Rhinolophus ferrumequinum: one gene and its partner. The protein of the gene in region 1 interacts with the protein of each later gene in a biochemical or structural test. Links are inferred from orthologs where the notes say so. Each region holds a gene or a part of one and is shown on either strand. Other genes may lie near its edges.

Region 1 (7,274 bases):
CAATGCAATCCCTATGAAAATCCCAATGGCATTTTTTTTGTATAAATGGAAAAGCTGATCCTAAAATTCATATAAAATTGAAAGGGACTCAGACTAACAAAAACAATCTTGAAAAAGACAAAGTTGGAGCACATACAGTTCCTGATTTCTAAACTTACTACAAAGCTATAGTAATCAAAACCCTGTGGTATTGGTATAAAGATATTCATAGAAATGAATGCAATGGAATTGAGAGTTTAGAAATAAACCAACATGTCTGGCCAATTGATTTTGACAAGGATGACAAGTCCATTTAATGGGGAAAGAATGGACTATTCAACAAAAGGTGCTCAGACAACTGGATTCCTATATGTAAAATATGAAGTTAGACCCTTTTCTCATACCATATACAAAAATTATCTCCAAATTGATCAATGACCTAGACCTAAGTTAAAACTACAAACCTCTTAGAAGAAAACAGGGGCAAATCTTCCTGGTCTTGGATTTGGCAATGGATTCTTAAATATGACACCAAAAGCACAAGCAACTAAAGAAAAAGATAGATAAATAGGACATCATAAAAATCAAAAACTTTTGTGTGTCAAAACACATCATGAACATTAAAAAAAAAACCTACAGAGGAAAAAAATATTTGTAAATTATGTAGCTGATAAATGACTTGTATCCAGAATACATCAAGAACCACTACAATGCAACAAGCAGAAGACAACCCAATTAAAAAATCAGCAAAGAACTTGAATAGACATTACTCCAAAGAAGGTATGTAAATGACCAATAAGCATATGAAAAAAATGCTCAATACCACAGTCATTAGGGAAATGCAAATCAAAATCACGATGAGATACCACTTCACACCTAAGATAGCTATTAAAAATGGAACATAAGTATTGGCGAGGATGTGGACAAACTGCAACCTTTGTATGTTGCTGGTAGAACTATAACAAGGTACAGCTTCTGTAAAAAACAGTTTGGCAGTTCCTCAAAAAGCTAAACATAGAATTACCATATGGCCCAGCAATTCTGCTTCTAGGTTTATTCAAAGAATTGAAAGCAGGGACTTGAACAAATACTTGTACATCAATGTTCATTATAGTATTATTCATAATAGTAAAAAAGTGGAACTAAATCAAGTGTCCATCAGCAGATAAATGGGTAAACAAAATGTGTGTGTGCACGCGTGCGTGCACAAACACACAATGGAATATTACTCAGACATTAAAAGGAATAAAGTTCTGATACATGCTTTACAACATGGATAAACTTTGAAAATGTTATGCTAAGTGATATAAACCAGACACAAAAGGATAAATATTGTACGATTCCACTTATAAGAAATATTTAGAATAGACATACGAGTAGTCATAGAGACAAAAAGTAGACTGGGGATTACTGAGGGTTGGAGGAAGGGGGGGATGGGGAGTTATTGCTTAATGGTTACCCAGCTTCTCTTTCAGATGATGAAAGTTTTTGAAATAGATAGTAGTGATGGCTGCACAACATTGTCAATGCAATTAACGTCACTGAATTGTACACTTAAAAATCATTAAAATGACAACTTTTATATTATACATATTTTACCACAGTTAAAAAAAATTCAAAAGCATGTTGAAAGTGATGGACCATGAATGCTTAGTTGAGTGGGGAATGGAGGTAAAGAAGGAAGTGGCCTACACAAAGGGAAGAAGCAGAAAAGATAAGGGACAGGTGTGTCTAACAACACACAAATTTAAGTTTGGGATGGGCAATGTACTTTACCAGATGCTGCGTAGGGGTACAGAGTTACAAAGTGTTCATATATGCTAGCTCCAGATTCAAACTGCAAAGGTTTGAATCTCAGCTTTGCTACTAACCAAATCAATGAGCTTGGTTTCTCAGCTTTCTCACATGTAAAATGTGGATAACGGTACCTAATCCATAGGAATGTTTTAGCAATTAAATGAGTTAATACAAGTAAAGTACATAGAATAGTATCTGGTACAGAGGAAGCAATTCAATAAATGTATAAATGTTAGTAATTATTGTAACTATACATAATAAATCGTTCAGGCATTGGAGTCAGACACTCTCAAACTCGAGCTTCCCCCTCTACGCTCACTGTTCCTAAACACAAGCTCCAACTTACTCATAAGGCTCCAAGGCATGGTATAAAGATACAAATGCTAGAATAGAGGCACAAATAAAAAAAACTCTGGAAATGCAGAAGGAGCTATTAATTCTAACATGGGGACAGGGAGGATAAGGGTGTCAGGGAAGACTTTGAAAGGACCTGGCAATTGAGCTGAGCCTAAAATAATGAATAGGTTTCCCACAGGCAGGAAAAGGGTTATAAAGGCATTACAGCATGAGTGAACAGCATGAAAAAATGCACAAAAGGATGTAAGTGCATGAAATAATCAAGAAATAGTCCAGTGTTGCTTGAATATAGGTTACTTGGTGGGATATAATGAGAAAAAAAATGGAAAGGTGCTGAAGGATACAGAGCTTTGAAAACCTTGCCAGGAATTTGGTGATATTTTATAGATGAATTCCCACTGAAAGCTCCTCTTTTAAAATTAAGGGCATGGTAAAAGGCCAGTGGGTGCTAATAGTCCAGCTGTGCTGGAAGATTACTTGCTTTACTTCATGGCAGGAAAGATGAGAAACCCACACTGATTTTTACCCCCAGGTAGCAACATTTTAAGACAAGTAATGTCTGGATCAGCCTTGATACTAAATGGGCTTGCCTGAGTTATTTTTCCAAGAAAGGAGATGAAACAAGAGATGAAGTTTTGACTTCAAACACACCCCAGGAACAATTTGGAAAATGACTCTGTCTCCCATAATTCTGACCCAAGAAGAGACCATCAGTTTCTTGTTTTGATACAAAGACCTGCATATCCCACACTCACCCTTCTCTTTAGCTGATGGAAAATTCTGTAGCCATCAACTGGTTGTGTGCTCCACAGGGCATTTGAGACACAGAATATTTCCAAAGGGTCTGGTCCAATTGTATTTTGAAGGCACCCAACTGTGAAAGCAGTAACCACAGCTAGAATTCCAGGCTATGGGAGTTCTGTGGATTAAAAAAACAAGTTATAAAGAACTTTTAAAATCATCAAAGTTGCAACTGCATGTTGCAAAAAGCTTATCTGCTTTTTTTTCACCCTTAATGCACAAGCGTGGCTAGTTGTCCTTCATTTTTAACTCCTAGATATATGAAATGTAAGTTCAGATCTAACCTTAATAGAAATTAAACTAGGGATAGCTGCTGAAACTAGGGGTACATGACACCTTTTTGAGATTTTTCAGTTTAGGCCTTCCCCCTAATATATAAAACGTTAAAAGAGAAAGTTCAATAGAAAGTCCAGTATTTGTACACTGATCCTAATATATGTATACATAAAATGCTAAGTGTTATACATAAAACGTTAAAAGAGAAAGTTCAATAGAAAGTCCAGTATTTGTACACTGATCCTAATATATGTATTTCCAAATTCTGGGCAGTAAAAGAGGCAGAGGGTGGAAGAGGCAGAGGTGACCCCAGATCCCAATCTATACTCTGGCATTCTATGCCTCAAACCCCCAGCCAGAAGTCTAAACAGGAGGAGCTGAGGTATAGACAATGTAGCTTCAGCTCTGTAAACTGTACAAATAAGTAGACAGGACAGTAGGATTAGGGGAATTCATTTCTTCCTAACCACACACTGCTAAAGGACTTTGGTATCCTGTGGCTGTCTCCCAGAGCTGAACTCTGACCAAAAAGGGTCGGTAAAAACAGGCGCTGCCACCAAAGACAGGTGCAAATCACCAAGGCCAAAGCATTGGTCAGCAAATAAAAGCAAAGATGAGAGTAAAGTCACTGAGGCAGGACAAATGAGACTATCCATGAAGCAGTTTCTGTAGTTGGTCTCCAGAAGGATCCTCCTCTGAGGCCCAGGACTATCAGGGGAGGGAGCCTCAGATGAAGCAGTAAACCTGGTACTTCTAGATGGGGTAGCTGGATGTTGAGGGCATAGTGAGGCTAGGTTGTTTTAGAACCACACTTAACGTGGCTTTGTTGAATGGGGGTGAGAATCAGGAATCCTCTTGGGGGTTAACAAGTTTAAGGTATCCTGATGAGATATCCTATATGAAAGGCTGAGCACAACTTCTGGAACTCAGATCGGAATGGAAGTGTCTGGGTTCCCTTTTTCCCAAGACTGTGTCTTCATCCCCTTCTCCAGATCTGTCCAGATATCAACTAGTAGCATAGTCATGTCTTCTTGTAAACAGAGTGATTCTACTCTTTGAACATGAAACTAAAGGATCTGTCAATGTGAACTTGTTTTGTTTATAACTCCATACAGACAGTGCTGTTTGTCATCTTTGTGTTGTTTGTGCTTATTCCTCGAATTAGACTTCAACTGAAGAACTAGGACACTGTTTTCACCAGTTTTAGCATGCAACTTTATTAACATGTAAATGGAGTCTCAAATGAATACATTTATGTCAATATAAAGCACAGAAGAATGAATAGCTTACTCAGGATGAGTAGTTTCATTATCAGGTCATGTTATTACAAAAATACTAAAATTATCTCAATTTATATAGCACAATAAAAATCAACAAATATTCAAGCTCTCAAGACCATTTGGTATCCATAAAATTGCCTCCTTCAATCAACACAGATGACATAAATATAATAACTTACAATATGCACTGGATTCATATTACAACACCAAAAATTGTTCAAGGCTTTGTGAGAACATTCGGTTATTCAGAGTTTGAGTATTAATCGTGTAACTTTATCTCTCACCTCAGGATCACTGTGCTCTGCTAAGTCTTGGAGTTTCTGACCAAACTCTTTTGCTTCCTGGAATATGGAAATAAGCTCAGATTTAGTGAACTCTTCCTTGGTAAATAGCTTCACCTTCTTTTTGAATTGGAAATTTATATTCTCAAATATTTCAATGATATTAAGAATATTGGCCTTTGACTCATTCTTATTAAAAGGTGCAACCAATGATGACAGTACTTTGGCACTGATCAGTTCTCTTGTATTGGCTTGATTTTTAGACAAGCGCAAAAATACTTTTAAAACATAAAACTTGGTTTTGACACTTCCCTTGTTTAACAAGGTGAGGAAATCTGGAATATAATTGGCAATTGTATGGTGATCCTCAAATTTCACACTCAAATGCTCTAATAATTTTAGTCCAGCAAGTTGCACAGGGGAGTTCAAAGGATAAGTGATTATGTCCTTACAAACCTGATGTATGTGTGACTCTCCTGTTTTTGATTCTTCAGAAGACTCAGAATTATCATCCACCATATTTAAAGCTTTAGGGTGTTCTTTAACGTTGGGATTATTGACCAAGTTTTCAATCATGACAGTAATACCTACATCATGAATTATATCTTGGGTAAATGGATAAGCAGGACTGATTCCCATTATCATCTTAGCTATTTCGTGAATGAAAGGATCCTTAGTTAACTTAAGTAGGGCAACTAATTTATCGAACTCTTTAGGTTCTAAACTAAAGACACGTGATTTGCAGCGGCAGGCTTTTGGATTGGGCCCATACTTTTCCCTATACCTAACCTGTTCTTTGATCTCAGCTAAGGTCTGGAAGTAAGGCCCATTATAGGGTGGGATCTTGGTCAGAGGCCGAATCCCCAGAGGAGTTTCAATCAAGGTCTCAACCAGAGTCCAATTCCCTTCTGGCGGCAAGGATTGCTCCTCTCCCTCTATTGGGACTAGGACACTATACCTGGCCCTTGACCATGCTGCTGCTTTTTGCTTTATAGTAAGTTCGGGTTTGGGTGTGGGCTCAGGCTTTTCCTGGATCTTAGGTGGAGGCTTATAGACTTGATAAGGGGTCTCTTCCTCAGGCCAGAACCAGGACCCTAAACTAGGCTCTTCTCCAGTCCAAAACCAGGAGCAGATACTTTCTTCATTCTCATCACTAGACTCGATTGTAATATCAGCTCTGTCCCCAGTACGGAACTTGATGCTGGCCTCTCTCCTTCTCTGGGGCCTAGATCCAATACTGGCCTTATTATCAGCTTTGGCAAAGGACCTGATATTGGTTTCACTTCCAGCATCAGCCTTGACTTCACACTTGGTCACAGCACTGACCCTTGATGTAGGGATGGCCTTTGAATTGTTATGAGGCACTATACCAGGTTCTGCCAGAGGTTTTGCCTTAGTTTCAGCCATGATTCTAGTTTTAGTCTTAGCTTCCATCTTGCTCACTTCCCTTATCATAGCCATGGCCTCAGTGTAGGTCACTGTTTGTGTCCTCGTCACTGCTACATCCCAAGCATTGGCCTGGATCACTGGTCCTGTTTTCAGTTCTCCCTCAGCCAGTGCCTTGGTCTGGATCTTAGCCTTGGTTCTAGTGTTGGCAGGGCCACTGATTCCAGCTTTCAGGCCAGCTCCAGCCCCTCCTCTGCCCTTGCCTTAACCTTGGAGCCAGTAATGAACCAAATTAAAAGCAAGGTCAATTTATATACCCCACCCATCACAGTCTTGGCCCAAGGTCTGTTCCAGTTTGGTGTTTTCATACAAAGTCCAGTAGTCACTCAGCCCCCTTTCCAACTACAGGCTCTGCCAATGATATAAACAACGTGCAGAGGAAGGTCACTCGGGGAAGGGAAGGATGGCTGTGTGCCTGAGCACAGCCCTGTGGAGGGCGGTGATCTTCAGCCACTTCAAGGCCACCAGATCTGCCACTGAAGTTGGACCTAGGGGTAGAGGAAGGAAATGGGGCTTTGAGTCTCTTCCATTTTTTTTCCTCATTTTGATTATCACAGAGAGACAAGAGAGTATGGAAATTCAGTGCTAAGTGGAAGAAGTACATAATTAGCAATCTCTCCCTTAATTTTATATTCCTTACAACAGCGGTGCTACTTATCTTCTTTCCAGACACAAAACAGGAGTGTGGAGAATGCGAAAACTGGATGGGAGTGAAAGAGACTGAGGAATCCCTAGACTTGCTCTTTATTCCTAATGGACCCAAGCAGAACTTGACTACCTCATCCTATAGGATTACTGAGGAAGTCTCTACACCCATAGCAGCCTGCACTGATCCTCCTTTCCTTGCTTCCAATGATGACAAGCCCTACAGCACAACTACAGGGCAGATCTATGAAGAAATAAACAAACAGGAGGTTATGGAAACTGATCTATTGGTAGACACCTTGGTCCCTGTTCCCTATATTTATAGTTTGTCTAGTGTTTCCCTCCTCCACCTCCCCATTGCCCCACTTCAGGGCTGCTCCTCTTCCTCTCTGCTGCCCACATTTTTCTCTTC
Region 2 (7,889 bases), on another chromosome or scaffold:
CCCCATCCTTCCATACAATTCTCTGTCCCCTATCCCAGGCAGCTCTGGAAAAGGTTTTGGACTTAGAGTCACAAGACCAGGGTTCTAGCTCTGGGTCTAGTCTAGCTGTTGGACCTTAGAACAAGAACCTAAGAATCTGCCCCTCTCTGAACCCCAGATCCTCATTTGTAAAATGGGGTGATAATGATGAGGCTTCTAATGCCTACCCCACAGGATGGTAGGTGAGGACTAGATCACTCAGACACAGAGATACAGTTATCACTTAGATGGTTGGCCCGGGAAATGTCTTAGCAACATGGGGACCTATGGGTGGTCATTACGCTGCTGTCAGAATACCTTTGACAATGTGATTTGGGGAAGGTTGGTTGGGAGCACCCCTAGCATGTTGAGCCAGGGACCTTCCCTGAGTGGAGCCTCAGAAGTGAGAGGCTCTCCCCTGGCTCAACGGTAGTGGGGGAGCTGTGCTCATCAGCCCCCCAGCCAGAGGCCCTGGGAAGAGGCTGGAAGTGGAATTGAACACACTGATGGTCAGCTTTCCCCAGACTAGAGTAGCTAGGGCTCCCCTAGAGGGCATATGAGTATGTACCAGGAACCTGGAACTCGCAGAACTGTAGCCACTCTCAGGCCCATCTTGAGACAAGCGCCTCCCTTACTCTCCCTTCTTTAATAGGCCCTGGATTCTGAAGGATCTAGAAAATTCCTCTTCTTTATCACACAGACAGCTTCCATTTATTGGGTCCAGCTGCACTATATATGCTCTCTCATCAACACCTCACAAAAACCCTGTAGAAGAAGGTCCTGTTATTACCCCCATTCTGTAGAAGAAGAAAGTGAGGCTCAAAGAGGCTAAGTGACTTACCCAAGTCATAGAGCCAGTTGGTGGCAGAGCTGGGATTAATACATACACAGGTTGGCCTGATTCTACAGCCTGTACAATCTCTGAAGGCAAAGTAAGGAGAATCACCAACAAAAATGCAAAACGAAGATCAATCCTGCCTGTGCTTGGGGGAATGTTCCCACTGTAGCTGGTGATGAGTCATTGAAAACACAGGAAATTCTTGTGGCCTCCACTCTTCCTGGGGGAGCAAAGATCCCTCAGAGATCTCTACGCCAAAGCCCCCTCAACACCCACGCACCCTCATCCAGTACCGCACTCCAGTGCACTATGCTCTGCCCTGCAGCAACCCATACTCTGGAATTCGTATCTCTCAGTCGAGATTAGGTTGCTATCCTTCAGACAGGGAAACTGAGGCAGGTGGGAGGTGGGGCTGGGGGAATGGTTGCCCTGACTCTGATGAGCGTCAGTAACTGGGCTGAGACCACATTCATGTCTCCAACCTGGATCCACAACCTGCCCTGCCTGGTGGCACCACTGCCCAGAGGTTTAGGGCTGTGCCCTCGACCAACCAGCATGGAGGACCCATTTCCAACTAATGGTAAATACCAGGGCCTCTTTGTTATCATAAGGATAGGAGTTTCCTTTCAATCCCTTTGCCCATGTCTGAACTGGTAGAACTGGGTCCGGGGGCTGCTTCTGGGGTAAGCTGGCGATGTTTTATATTCTGTGAAGATCCACAGATACTAAGAAGAGAGCTTCACTTCCTGAGGTGAAAGCACCAACTCCAGCCAAAAACAAACCACTGCTGCCTTTGACAAAAAAAAAAAAAAAAAAAAAAAAAAAAGGAAAAAAAAGACTGTTAGGAGAGGAGGAGAAAATGGGAAGGGCACTTGTGAGGAAGACGTGAGGCCTTTCTAAACAAGGTCCAGAGCTCCTGACCAGATGGCAACGGTCCAGGTGCAGAGAACTGACTGGCTGACCCACAGCTGCTGCCCACTGTACCAGGAACTATGGGCTCTCTATTGCGAACACACATAGGTGCACAGACACAAGTGTCCAAGGCCACTCTGGATGCTCTGGGGTTTCCGGGGTTCACAAGAAACAACAGTCATACTGTCACATTCTCATTCGGAGAGAAATCACAAGCTGACAGTGTGGGACAAGCACACATCAACACAGGGACATCAACAGATGATCACCAAATGTGATTTGGTAAGTGCTCCCACAGCATGGTACAAATTCTCTCTCTCTCTCTCTCTCTCTCTCTCTCTCTCTCTCTCTCTCCTGTGCCCCCACCTGCATAGACAGCCCACACACAGCTGTCTCCCCGCAGGCCCAGGGCACCTTGGGCATCTCTGCCCACTCCAGCAAGGTTTCAGAGATCCAAACATACAATGCATTTGTACTGTCACAAACAGAACCACCCACCCACAAACTGTGACAGACGCAAACTGTTGCCAAACTGTCCCACACAGCCTGATGCAGAAGCAGGGGGATGCAACAGTTGATCAAATGTTATTTAGTTACACACACACACACACAGATACAAATTCCGGTGTCTTCCTCTCAATGGAAGAGGTCTCCCCGCTGGGCCCCATGCGCCCCCTGCAGGAAATATAGAGGCCCTGGGAGTCAAGGGTCCGAGGTCAGGGTCCCAAGTCCACAGTGCCCACCTTCACCCCAGGCCCAGACCCACGGCGCCAGCCCACAGCGGACTCACCGGACGATGCCAAACATGACGAGCATGTTGCCCAGCAGCCCCACAGCGCACACAGCCGAATAGAGCGTGGTGATGGCGATGGCCAGAGCGAGGGACGAGGCGCTGCGGGCACCTGGCGGCCCCGACGCATTGGCGCTCGCGCTGGGGAAGGCGCTGGGGAAGGCGTCCGAAGTGGTAGCGAGGAGTGGGGGCTGCAGCTCGGCGTCGGTGGAGGGGGCCGGCTCCATGGCGGCCGGGGAGCCGGAGCCGTATCCTTCCCCACCGTGCGCCCTGGGCGCAGAGACTTGGGATGATGGGCGCACCAAGGGTCGAAGCCGCCGCCTGGAAGACGCTGGCTGCAGCGCCCGGACCGCTCGGCTGCCTCCGCGCCTCTTTCGCCCACCTCGCCGCCCGCACCGGCCCTGTCCTGGCGCCCGCCCGCCCGCTCTCAGCGCCCGGAGCGCTCTGAGCCTGGAACCTCTGCGGGCTCCTCGGACGCACCCGCCGCGCGCACCACGTGGCCCGGAGGCGGCCGCTAGTCTACGCTGGGGACCAGGGGCGGGCTCTGCACCACCGGCTTGGTGCTGGGCCAAGGAGGCTTCCCACTCCCTCCCTAGAGATGCCTCAAGAGCTCGGGTGTACCCCACCCAGCCGGACTCACCCCCCCCACACCCCTTTGCTGCTTTGGAGTCAAAAGGACCAGGATGTGAATCCCACCTCCTGTCCCTGCATTCAAGAGCAGTGACCTTGAGCAAATCACTTAACCTCTCTCAACTTGATTACCCTCATCTGTGAAATGAGGATAATCACACCACCTCCCTCAGAGGGTTGTTGGGGTGATTAGCTCAGATGATGTGAGTGAAGAACTTAGCTCAGTGCCGGGCACAGAGGAAGTGCTCCATAAATAACCATTATTATCCATGGGTTTTTGCACCCCATTCATTCACTCAACAGATTTTTTGGGGGTGCTGAGTATAAGAGCCAGGTACTATTGGGGATTCACTAGATGCAGCTCCTACTTCCTGGGGCTTATAGCCCAGTGGAGGAGAGAGACACCAATTCTAAAATTACACTAATGAAGATACAGTTACAAATTGAGGAAATGAAGGAAGCGAGGCTTTCCTGCGGCAAAGGCTACAAAACCCAGAGGTCATGACGGCTTCGCTGAGGAAATGACATTGAAAGTGAGACGTGAAGTTTGGAGATGAACTAACTTAGGGAAGAAACCAAAGGAACCACAGGTCCATATGTGCAAAGACACTGTGGTCAAAGGGACTAAAAGGAGGCCAGGAAGAGAAGGCAGGGAGCCAGCGTTCGGAGAAGGGTGGGCAGGGTCTCAAAGACCACCCTAAAGATCACTGTGGCTGCTGTAGGAGCAGATGGGAGGGGAGAACTTCCCACACTCTTTCCCTAACCTGACCAGCCCAGATCTAGTAGAGCCATCCTCCTTCTTGGGGCTCCTGTCCTCCCCGGAACATTCGCTCTGCAGCCATTACTCTGTTCCAGGCACTGTGATAAGTGCCTTATCCATGCATCAACATTTTGGAGTAGATTCTATTATTAGTGTCCCCATTTTACAGATGAGAAGACTAGGCTAGACACTGAATTATCCCATATGGCAATTATTTCTATCTGAGAAATTGTTTCCTCTTTTGGGAACCAGGCCTGATTGATCCCTGCACCCAGTGGACAGCTGGGGTCAGAGTGGGTGCTCAGGAAATACTAGTTGGATGAATAAAGGTCCCAACGGGGAATGGAATGGGACCACATTGGGGTTCCCGAGCTCTAGGCTCTGGGACAATGCTCTTGGCCCTAAAGTGTCTGGGCAAGAACCCCCTCACTCATATCACTCTCTGGCTTGAGTCATCCATCTACATGCAAGCCTCTTACCTTTTCCCAGAAAGAACAAAAGCAGAATTCCCAAGTTCAGCCTCCTCTCCATTCTCTTTGCCCCTCCCAGCTGCTGTCCAAGCTTCTCTACCAGCTACAGTAGACTCCTCACCCCAAGGCTTTTCCACTCAACCATCTAAGGACTCTTCAGGCAGATGATTTTTGCTCTGTGGTCACATTTGCTGCTAAAACTCTCCCCGTCCCAAAGGGCCTGGTACTCAGAGACTTTTCTGGTGCCAGAGGAAAGAAATTAGGGCAGGAAAAGAAAAGGGCTACTTTATTGGAGTTCTGGCCCCCTCCCTACCCCTCCAACAAGCCAAATTCTTTTTCCTACATCAGGACATTTGCACACTCTATTTATTCCACTTGGAAGTCTCAGCTACTTCCCAGGCTAAGTGCTATTTATCCTTCACGTTTCAGCTTAAATATCACTTCACTAACTGTCCCCTCCCGCCTCCTATCAAATAAACAAGGTCCTCGTGTTATTTGTTCTTGTAGCATCATATACTTCCTCTTTACAGAATTTCCCCCGTATTTATTTATGTAGTCGTTGGGGTTTTGTGCATCCCCTTTACAATAGGTCTTGTGCACTCATGTACCCCCACCTTAGTACAGCCCCTGGTGCTCGATGAGTGATAGAATGGGGAGTTCAGTTCCAACGTGGGTGAGATCCCATTCGGCGAGGGAGTCAGAGCAGACATAGCTTATTAGAGGACCTAGGAATTCTTCTAAGCAATGGAAACCCTTTGCACAAATTCAGCAATCACATCTTACTTGGACCTGAAATACTAGATGCCAGTTCCAGGCCAGCCCTTGGCTTTTGGCCGTCACCAAGCAAGTCTACTCTCACTCCTTGGAGTTGCCTTTGGGGCCCTCCCAGTCTGGTCCCAACCAGGGTTTATTGCTGCCGTCTTCTGACTCCATCCACTCTCCACACCTCATTCTCACTCTCAAGCCACACTGGGCTGAAGAGTATGTTTTTAAATTGTATTCCACAAGGTTTTTTGAGTCCCTCCTGGAGACAGAACTGCTATGGTGGAAAACCATAGCTATGGTGGAGGCAAAAGACAGAAAAAGGATTCCCTTCACTTCTCTGAGACTTAGTTTCCTCATCTATAAGGATTGAGTGAGGATCTGGTGAAATAACAGATTCTCTGCCAACTGACAAAGGCTGCCTGAGCAGATGTTATTAAACCATAAGGATGAGTAAGACCATTGCTCTCTTAGAGGAGCTCACAGTCAAGATGCTGGAAAGATACGTAACTGACCCAATACATGAGCAAAATACCATAATTGCTAAGAAACCGTGCAGGCAGTTATGGACTGCCCCTTTTAAGAGTTTGCTTGCCGTCTGCTCTCTCATGTGAGGACACAGCAAGAAATCAGCAGGCTACAATCCCGAAGAGGGCCTTCCCCAGGACCTGACCACCCCGCACCCTGATCTTGGACTTCCAGCCTCCAGAACTATAAGACATACGTTTCTGTTGTTTATAAGCCACCCGGGTCATGGAACTTTGTTACAGCAGCGCAAACTGACTAGCACACAAGCCAAGTGCACGTGAATGGCCTCCATTGAGGACATCGGAAGGACGGTGGAAACTTGAAAGGCATCTAAAAGGGTTTCCCCAATGGCCTCCCAAAGTGAGTACTTTGAAGAGGTCAGTTCTTACTTGGATGCGAGCATTCTCGTCTATTCATCTTTAAAAGGCAGCCTCGTTTCTGTGGTCACAACTCATAAATGATCTTGTTGGCTGCCATTTGTCGAGCACTTGCTATGTGCCAGGCACTGGGCCAAGTGCTTTGTGGATGATCTTCTTCAATCCTCAGCAGCCCCAGAGGTGTGAGGTCCTACTATCGTTGCTCCATTTTACAGAGGTTCGGTTACCTGCCCAAACCACAACCAGGATGCCAAACCCGATCTGTGGGGCGCCAAAGGCCAGTCTCATGATGACCACATTACATTGCCTCTCAGAGCAGAAACTAGAATGTCGCCTCCATAAAACACAAGAACCCATCGCTCCTCCCTCTGCCTGGCAGAGTTTTCCCTCAAGTCGGTCCCTGCTCTTGGTGGAGGACAGATTAGACACAGCCCCCCACGCACCTGGGGTAAGGAACGGTTCTACTCTGCTGGGTCTTGTCTCCATCCTTGACTTCAGGGGAACAAAACAAAAACATAAATGCACAGGAAATCCTGAGCCAACCGGAGCATCAGAAGATGTCAGCAGTGGAGAAACAGAAATCACAGAAGGAGTCGGAGCAGAAAGAAACTCCCTGGGGAAGCTATTAACAATTCAGTACGTGGGAATGTGGCTTCCACCTGCCAAAGAGACAGATCAGCTTGATGGAAAATACAGCAACTCCTCATCCTCCAAGGGAGCAGAAAGGTCCCCTGGGTTGCCTTTCAGTCTGGCTCCATCTGCAAATCCCAGGATGGGGAGGACCTTAGCAATAACCATAAAATAATAACCACTTGCATTTGCAAAGTACTTTTGACTTTTCGAAGCACTCTGATGACTTCATCTTACATTGACATCATTCGGATATATGGGGAGGTCAAGTTTCATTATCTTTATTTTATAGCTAGGAAGACAGGCAGCTGGAGAGCCTGGGTGAGAGCCCCAAGGATACACAGCAAATCGGGGAAAGAAATAAGGTTGATACCAGCCATCTAGTTGCTCAAGTCAGAAACCTGAAAGTCATTCTTGCCTCCCCTCTTTTTCCCCCAATCCCTCACCTCCAACCAATCACCAAGTTGTGTCCATTCTTCCCAGACAACCCTTAAATCCTGCCATTGTTATTTATTCTTACTACTGTCTTCCAGTCAGACGCACCACCATTTCTTGCTAAAACTCCTGAAATAGCCCTGAAATGATCTCCCTGCACCAGGCTTGCTGCCTTCAAGCAGTAACATGGCTGCAGGAATCTGCACACTTTCACCTTCCTCAGCCTCACCAGCCTCTTGTTGTACCGTCTTTCCCTTCGCATGTTATGTTCCAGCCAAAATAAACTGTTTGTGGGTCTCCAAATAACCTGCTTCTCTCCCCTCCAGGTTAATCTAGTTGGTTAAGAGGGAAGCTTTGGTCTCAGACTGGTTGGATTTGAAATCCCAGCTCAACCACTTACTGGTCACATGACTTCTTCTGCAAGTTTCATAAGATGGGGACAACAACAGTACCGCTTTATAGCACCTGGCACATAGGCCGTGTTCAATATACGCTAGTGATTGCTGTGATGATGGTTCCTCTGTCCGGAACATGCTCCTGCTAGCTCCCCTTCCCCTTCGTCACCTAACCCACTCCTATGCGCCCGCCCGTCTCATCTCAGCTGAGATAGCGCTTCCTTCCCTGCTCCCCCAGATCAGTTTACATGACACCATTATCTGTCTGTTCCCTTAGGGTATGTCCCCCTCCTGGAAGCACAGCCAGGTCCTGCATTCCTAGGAAACCATCCCATCCCGATGTT

Evidence for each region.
Region 2: the proteins of GPRASP1 (region 1) and OPRD1 form a complex in vitro, tested with the Homo sapiens proteins (2 studies listed by BioGRID and IntAct). The link is inferred for Rhinolophus ferrumequinum from reciprocal best matches to the Homo sapiens genes GPRASP1 and OPRD1.

Annotation. Positions count from the first base shown.
Region 1 is NC_046284.1:52,170,601-52,177,874, forward strand, and holds the start of GPRASP1 (G-protein coupled receptor-associated sorting protein 1), read right to left. Parts: upstream 3,017-7,274; 5' UTR 2,889-3,016; intron 1-2,888. Other genes in the region: ARMCX5 (armadillo repeat-containing X-linked protein 5), read right to left, coding at 3,029-3,052, 4,775-6,232. UniProt on the Homo sapiens protein: Modulates lysosomal sorting and functional down-regulation of a variety of G-protein coupled receptors. Targets receptors for degradation in lysosomes via its interaction with BECN2.
Region 2 is NC_046292.1:19,764,684-19,772,572, reverse strand, and holds the start of OPRD1 (delta-type opioid receptor), read right to left. Parts: upstream 3,018-7,889; 5' UTR 2,786-3,017; coding exon 2,559-2,785; intron 1-2,558. UniProt on the Homo sapiens protein: G-protein coupled receptor that functions as a receptor for endogenous enkephalins and for a subset of other opioids.